2 linked regions of the Ovis aries genome follow. The protein of the gene in region 1 interacts with the protein of each later gene in a pairwise test. Links are inferred from orthologs where the notes say so. Each region holds a gene or a part of one and is shown on either strand. Other genes may lie near its edges. The genes, in order: FCHSD2 and ABCF3.

Region 1 (3,810 bases):
TCTGGGAAGGAGAATTCAATGGGCGGATTGGAGTTTTCCCATCGGTGCTAGTGGAAGAACTTTCAGCCTCAGAAAATGGTGACACTCCATGGATGCAAGAGATTCAGGTGCACAACAGGGGAAGAAAGCTGAATTAAAAGATAGTTCAAGAAAATAACTCCCAAAGAGTCTGTTGACCCACACAGAAGTGGGCTGTGGTCTCAACCTCACCCTTACCACTCCAGTTTTTGGTTGCCAAGTTACCACAAGACTGAATTTGGGAAGCAGAGACTTGTCAGCCAGGCTCTGTGTAATGGCTATATTACACTTCATGTCTCCCACATTCTGTTCTCTGAATTGAGGAACCAAAATACTACACTGTGTGTGACCTACAAAAGACTGGTTTGGCGAGGAGAAAGAAAGAAACCGGAGAGGGAATGTGTTGTCTCTGTGGTTAGTTTATACAGTAAAAATATTAGCAGCCTCTTTCTCTCCCTCACTGTCAGAACCTCCCTGCCCAGCCCAGGCACTGCTAATCCTTTTCAGAGAACTAATGAGACTCCCAAAGCCCCATGTACTCATGTGGCCTGAGGCTTACTTCATCATAGCATAACTTGTCTTTACGGGAAACTCCTAATTCAGATATGTCACAACAGGCCTGGCAGGTCCAGGACCGTAAGGAATATGTCTGCCCATCTTGCTTGTACAGTATTATGACCACTGAACATGACAATTACAAAGCCTGGGGAAGTCAGAAACTCAGCCAATTTTTTTTTTTTTCACCAAAAAATAGAACTTGTTTTTTCTTTTGTTCTTCACTGAATTGACTACTTTGATATGTTTTCAGTAGAACTCTAGAGAATGGTTTGACTTGGTAAATGTTGAATTTAAACTAAAATCTATGAGATCTATAATGAGATCTATGGAAGGAAAAAGTTAAATGCAACACAAAACTGGTGGTAGTGTGGTTATTCTAGGCTCATTTGCTTTTTTATTTTACTCTTTTTTAATTATGAAAGGATGATAACACATTCACAGGAGACTTGGAAAATACAGAGCAAGGTTGTATATAGTTCCACCATGTTTTACAATTATTTTTTAAGTAGATAAATTAAGATTTTTAGATGGAGTTTCAATATCAAACTCTCAAACATTAGTAGAATGAATATACAGAGAAGTAGGATATAGTAGGCCTGAAAAGCACTGTGAACCAACTCAATGTAATTAAGATTTATATAATTTTCACACAATAGTAGGATACAAATTCTCTTCAAGTTCCTATAGACTGTAAATTAGGAGACACTGGAACATATCCAGGGACATAAAACAAGGTGCAAAAATGTCATGGTCTAAAGGTATTGAAATCAAACAGAGTCTGTTCTCTTAGCACTGTGGAATTATGTTAGAAATCAATATCAAAAGATACTTTAAAATAACCCACATATTTTCAAGTGCGGCTTTCCAGGTGGTGCTAGTGGTAAGAACCTGCCTGCCAGCGCAGGAGACGTAAGAGTCGTGGGTTCGATCTCTGGGTCGAGAAGATCCCCTGGAGGAGGGCATGGCAATCCATTCCAGTATTCTTGCCTGGAGAATTCCCACAGACAGAGGAGCATGGCGAGCTACAATCCATGGGGTCACAAAGAGCCAGACACAACTGAAGGGACTGAGCATGCATGCATTTACCAAGAGAGATCATCTTCAACTTAGCCATCAAACTAGGCTTATTTGCTTCTAATTAGGGTGGTCAAAAAAGTTAATAGTCATAATGTAGCTCCGGAGAAGGGTTATTTGCCAGGAGCAGTCAGAGAAGCCAGCTGACCTCCCTCCTGAAGTGAGCACTGTGTAACCTCTGTTCCCTTTGCTGCAGGTCTCTCCTTCCCCCAAACCGCCCAGCTCCCTGCCTCCACTGCCGCTGTATGACCAGCCTCCCAGCAGCCCTTACCCCAGCCCAGATAAGAGGGGCTCCCAGTACTTCTCCCGCTCTCCTTCAGCAAACGGTAAGGGGTCTCGTGGGCATTTGTCAAAATACACTTTCATTTGGAAAGCCACGTGTTCATCTGAAGGGTAAACAGATCTGAACTACCATCTGTATTGCTCAGCAACACAAATAAATTGAGCTGCTTTGATTCCCTCCCTTAGAAAACAGCTTCCATGCCGAATCGCCAGGATTCTCGCAGGCATCCAGGCATACTCCTGAGACCTCATATGGGAAACTGCGACCTGTAAGTCTCTTATCTAGCTGAGTAATAGAGTGCATAGTTCTTCCAGATTGAAAGTTAGAAATTAATGGAGCTCCATGACCCCTGTGTTGTTACTAATTTCTTCCATGCCAGGTTGCGATGGACTTGGGAAGTTAAACAGAGCTCTGGAAAAGGAAGGCTATAAAAATAAACACATCTTGGAAGGTCTAGCTTATTACGCTGGCACTTTCCTCACTAAGCCATGGTGAGATTGCCAGGTGATAACTATGGAAAGTGTATTTAAAGTATAACAAGTTCTGTGAGCATTAAAGCAGTCTAATTGTGAAACAGAATTTTTTTTTTTTTCCAGCAGGCGTTTATTGAGAACTTTTTTCCCAGGCCTCTACTTTCCTCTTCGACAGACAGTGAGATGATATAAGATACATGCCCTTTTGAGGTTTGAGAGCTTCTATTCTCAAAGAAATTATTTGTTCTTTACAAATAATCACCTCTACCCACCCCTCACTCGGCTGTCATCAAATCCATCCGACTACCTCACTGTGAAATAGTTCTTCCAGGGTCATAACTTCCGCATGGTAATCTAGTTACATTTGCGGTTTTATTTTCCTAGACCCTCTTATCAGCATTTGACACAATTCTTTGAGCCACTTACAACCTTTGTCTTTGTTCATTCAGCAGATACTGAGTGCCTTGTTAAGGACTTGGTTCGTGATCCTAAATGTGATAGGAAGATGTTGTAAGATTGTAAACCAGATAGTGATATGACTGATTGTGCATTTTTAAAAATTATTTTTACTTAATAATTTTTATAATTTTATGTTGGCTGCACTTGGTCTTACTTGTAGCACGTGGGCTCTTTGTCACTGAGCATGGACTTCTCTTTAGTTGCAGTGAGTGGGCTTAGTTGCCTTGAAGCATGTGGGATCTTAGTTCCCCAACCAGGGATCAAGCCTATATCCCTTGAATTGGGAGACCACCAGGGACATCCCAGCTGTGCATTTTAAAAACACTACTGTGGCAGCTAGGTGGAAAATGAGTAGAAAGTGTCAGAATGAACAGGGGGAGTTGTTAGGAGGCTGGAGCAATGGTCCAAGCAAGAGAGGACAGTAATGTGAACTAGTGGGGAAGAGCAGTAGTGGAGAGAAGTGGACCCATTTGTTCCACCACACTTTTCCTGGTCTGCCTTCTACTTCCTGGCCTTCCTTTTCATTGGCCTCTGAGGGCTTCTCTGCCTTTACCCAGCTCTGTTGATGCCTCTCAGGGTTCCATCCACTAACCCCTTCCCTCTTTTTTTTTAATTTGTCTGGCTGCGTCAGGCTTTAGTTGCAGCAGGTGGAGTCTTTGTTGCATCGTGTGGGATCTTTTCGATGCGCTGCACGGAGTCTGTAGTGTGGGCTCCAGCGCACACAGGCTTCAGTAGCTGCTGTGTGCAGCCTCGGTATTTGGGCACTCAGGTCAGCCTCTCCGTTGTTCCATGGCATGTGAGATCTTAGTTCCCTGACTAAGGGTTGAACCCACGTCCCCTGCATTGCAAGGCAAATTCTTCACCATTGCGCAACCAGAGGAGTCCCAGGGCTACTGCTCTTAAAGTCGTTAAACTTACTCCTGAGTTATCTCATTTACTCCCAAG
Region 2 (4,360 bases), on another chromosome or scaffold:
CTCCAGTATTCTTGCCTGGAAAATCCCATGGACGGAGGAGACTGTTAGGCTACAGTCTATGAGGTCGCAAAGAGTCAGACACGACTGAGTGACTTCACTTTCTTTCACTTTCTTTAGGGTAGGTGTTGAGGACAAAGCTCCTAGAAAGGTAGGAGTAAGCCTTGAGTGCTGGTTCAAGAATTAGACGAGCCTGTATTCAGTCGCTTCATGGCTTAAGACTGTGACCCTGATCTGTAGGAGGTCAGATTTTCATCCTGCCATATTCTGGTTTCTATCAGGAGAATTCTAGGAATAGTAGGATTTGCAACTAGGTTTGCCCTTTCTTGCCCTTGCTTCCTCTCATGATGGGCTCGGCCCTGCCTAGGGAAGGCAACATGGTATATCTCCCTACAGAAAGAGAAGAGCCAACAGATGTTCTTCAGGTCCTGCAAGAGCCAGGCAGACCTTTCATGTGCTAGGATTGGCTCTGTCTCCTCTTAGCTTGAATGTGAAGATCATTTATCAAAGAAGGGATTTCAAATCCCATGTCCAGTTAAACTCAACTTGCCAATGGTTTTCTAAGCCACATGTATGCCTGTCAGTAGAAGACACACAGGTCCTGACCTTGAGGACCTCACAGGCCCATAGGTATATAGTTGAGGTAGAACACAAACATATTTTGAAAAATTTTAGCTTTTCTTCTAAATATTTGATTCCTTACTCCCTGCCCCGTACCTTAAGTCTTGATTCCTGGGAAAAGGCTCATGTCTAGAACAAATATACGATGCAAAAAAGCTTGGGGAAATCAGAGGTCATGTTATAAAGCAGTTAACTCAGCACAAACACTTCTACTGCCAAGTCCTGTGCGTGTGTGTGTGTGTCTGTATAAAATGACAATCAGTCCTCGGACTCTGGAGACTGAAAGGCCTACAGCAATTCAAGGCTTAACAGATGGGCTTCAACAAATGGCAGTAATCCTCTGCTGCTGCTGCTGCTAAGTCGCTTCAGTCGTGTCCGACTCTATGCGACCCCATAGACTGGACTATGCAGCCCACCAGGCTCCGCGGTCCCTGAGATTCTCCAGGCAAGAACACTGGAGTGGGTTGCCATTTCCTTCTCCAATACATGAAAGTGAAGTCGCTCAGTCGTGTCCAACTCTTAGCGACCCCAGGCTGAGGCTCTCACAAACTCTGAAAGAGGAACAAGAAGGATTGCAGAAACTACAATTCCCAGAATGCTCAATGAGGAAAAGGAAGTGAGCATAGCAGCGTATTCTGGATTGTGTATTGCGGGTGGGGCCGAATAAAGCCCTCCTACTTCACCCTCAAGGCACGCCTAGCCCCTCCTTCGAGTCTCGAAGGCTGTCGGTAGTTGTAGTTCTACGAAATCTAGGGGCGCTTAAAATTGTAAGAGATAAGGCCGAGAGGCCTGTTGGGATTTGTAGTCTGCGCCGTCGGCGGGTGCGCACGCGCAGTTGAGGCCGGGGCGGGGCCGCAACACTGCAGTGAAAGCCGAGGCAGCGGGCAGGCGAGCAGGGGGCGGGCGGACATCTTGGGATCCGGAGAGTGGCCGGGCCGGCCGAGCAGAGGGCCGCGGACACCAGGTGAGCTCGGGATCTCGCCATACGGGGTGAGGGAGGACGCCTCCCTGGCTTCCTAGCTTTGCCGTTCACTGCACTGCGCTACGCGGAAAGCAGCCCACACCCGGGAGTGGCCTCAGCCTTCAGATCAGAAAGGGAGCTGACGGCGGGGCGGGGGCGCCCGGGGCGCGGTTGCAGGACGGGCGCGGAGCGATGCCCTCCACCTGACCCGCCCGGAGCTTCGCTTGAGAGGGAGACCCTCTTGGAATCCTTCCAGACAGGGACGCCGCGCGGCGGCCCCCTCCCTGAGATCGTGACAACCTCCTAGCCCTCGGCGCCTCCTCCTCCCGGGGCAAGGACAATTCCCCCATCCCCTAGGACAGTGACACCTCCTTGTGCCGCCTCCTTGGACTGTGACAAGGTCCCCACTCTGCGGCACCCTCTCCTTGCAGTTGAGTGACAGCCCCCGCACGCCGTGGAACCATCTTTACCCGTGATGTCCTCCCCGGGGCGAAAAGCCCACCACCCGCGCATGCTTGTACACCTGCATACCACAGCAAGCTACGTCTCCCCAGCTTTCCCTTATTCACCACTGTTAGTCTCACCCTGCCGTGTTTTCCTCTTCAAAACCTTGACCTTTGCCATACTGGAAACTCTTTTCTCCAGGTGCCCCCACCAGCTCTGTTGCTGCTGTGGGCTCACTTGAGTACACTGCCTGGCTGTTGCTGCCAGTCTATCCCTTAACTAAATATTCCTTTCCTGATCTGGGCACCATCTCTGCTTCTCTGATGCCCTGAGTTCCCTACCACCTGATCCCTGTGAACTTGCTTCTTTGCCCAGGGCCCTACCTCCATTTTGCGCTTTCTCTCCTGGTCTCTGGGACTGAGGAATGGGAAGTGTCCACCACTTTGAGAGAATTATTCTCTTATCCTGGGACACCTTTACTGCTATAATAATACACTTTATTTTCCAGTTTAGAAACTGAAAGTCTCCTAAACTGCCCCTCTTGTGAAATTAACACCAAGGCTAATCCAGGAAATATAGAACTAAACCCTTTTTCTCCTTGCAAACAATCTGAATTAGTTGGACCCAAATAATTTAGATAGTTCCGGGATTCTGCCCCTTGTTTTTAGGCATTCAGGTCAGAAATGAATTATGTTGCAGGTCTGGAATCAGAATTTCTACTGGACGGATCTCTTGATCTTATGAACCTGCTCTCCCCTTCCTCACAACACCCCTGTATTCTTATTTACTTGGGAGCTGAGGGGGAGCTTCTCTATTTCAAAGAGAGGTGGTCAGAAATAACTAATAAGCTGCTTGGGTCACTGAAGTGTAGTCTGTCAGGGCTGGGGCCTTTCTTCTCTGCTCTTGCTTGTTTATTTGACTGCCTGGGAGAGGTTGGAGCAGCACTCCTGGGTTGGTGTCAGGGCCTTAGGGCTCTCTTCTCTCCTCCCTAATCCCTGCACCCCCTTTCCTAGAATGTTTAGACTTTTGTGATGTTTAGACTTTTGTGAATTAGAGAGTCAAAGGTTCAGGCCATGCTGCCTTTTCTGAAGGGTAGTGGAGGCTGAGAGTAGCGCTCCTAAAGTTTTGCCTGGGGGCTCCAGGCCTGAACCAGCTGGAGTAATTCCTACCGCCATTCCTGCAGCCGCAGGCAGGCCTTTGCAGTGACTCACCAGCTAGAGCCTGATTGAGAGTCTGCACAGGAAGGGGCCTTGCTGAGCTCAGCGCTGTGAAAGGGGGAGGGGGCTACTCTGGGCTCAGTCCCAGGAAAGGGAGGGTCAGAACGGCCTTAGAATCCTGGGCCTAAGTCCCTCTCCTTTTCTCCCAGTATGGGATAAACAGGAACTGGGGCCTGGTGAAAGGGAGGGGCTTGGCTGAAAGGACTGTAGGGTCACTTGCTGGAGGGTTGAATCAGGAAAAAGGCCCAGCCAGTGACCTGGACAGCCCCTTAGGGGACAGGGCTCAGATTCTGCCGCCTTCCCTTACACTGCCCCCATCTATCCTAGGTCTCTTCTCAGAGCGATGGGCTGCGAAGACTGAGCTGCCGCCATGATTGGAGGCTTATTCATCTATAATCACAAGGGGGAGGTGCTCATCTCCCGGGTCTACCGAGATGACATCGGGTGAGTGCCCTGGCTGAGCCAGCTGTGCCCCCACTCCCATCCCTCCTCTCCAGCATGCAGGGCCAGGTCTCTTTCTCCCAGAGGCTTGATCTGGACTGTTCCCCACCCCTTGCTGCATCCTGGATGCTCAGCTATTACAGCCTGGTTCCCATTAGGTCTGGTGGTATTGGCCAAGCAGCCAGTTGCTGGCCACTCAGTGGGACCTGTGAAATGGCAGGACCCCCACAGTCCTAGGAACTCCTAGCCTTGCTGCTTCCTGTTCCCTGTAGTGACAGACCTAGTTGCTGGAGATGAGTGCTTTTGCTTGAAGGGTTGATCCCTCCTCTGAGAAGGGAGATCTGTCTCTAGCAGGTGGAATTAGTGGTCATGCTGGCAGTACTAATCTAAGTCTTGCTCTCAAAAGCCCTTCTTGTGGTGAGAGCCTTCACTGGATTCTTCAGGCTGCCGAATCCTCTCCCACTCCCTTTCTCAGGAGTCAGGCTGCTGACTCAGCTGTTTTCAGTTCCTCTTGGCCACTCCAGGAAGAGAGGTGGTGAGCAAGCCTGAGGCATTCTCTGGGTCACCCAGAGATGGGCAGGGAGGCTGTGCTGCTTTTCTGGTCTATCAGAGTAGACCAGGAACAGCTCCTTGTCTGTGTCCTCAGACCTCTACCAGGAGACACAGCCTCAGTTATTCT

Evidence for each region.
Region 2: the proteins of FCHSD2 (region 1) and ABCF3 interact in binary tests that used the Homo sapiens proteins (3 or more experiments, as listed by UniProt). The two-hybrid records come from large-scale screens. The link is inferred for Ovis aries from reciprocal best matches to the Homo sapiens genes FCHSD2 and ABCF3.

What each region holds. Positions count from the first base shown.
Region 1 is NC_056068.1:51,102,242-51,106,051, reverse strand, and holds part of FCHSD2 (F-BAR and double SH3 domains protein 2), read left to right. Parts: coding exon 1-107; intron 108-1,846; coding exon 1,847-1,976; intron 1,977-2,118; coding exon 2,119-2,201; intron 2,202-2,312; coding exon of another isoform or gene 2,313-2,336; exon of another isoform or gene 2,337-2,529; coding exon of another isoform or gene 2,530-2,598; exon of another isoform or gene 2,599-3,810. UniProt on the Homo sapiens protein: Adapter protein that plays a role in endocytosis via clathrin-coated pits. Contributes to the internalization of cell surface receptors, such as integrin ITGB1 and transferrin receptor.
Region 2 is NC_056054.1:203,764,082-203,768,441, reverse strand, and holds the start of ABCF3 (ATP-binding cassette sub-family F member 3), read left to right. Parts: upstream 1-1,512; 5' UTR 1,513-1,582; exon of another isoform or gene 1,583-3,567; 5' UTR 3,568-3,610; coding exon of another isoform or gene 3,611-3,684; 5' UTR 3,685-4,360. Other genes in the region: AP2M1 (AP-2 complex subunit mu), read left to right, coding at 3,611-3,684.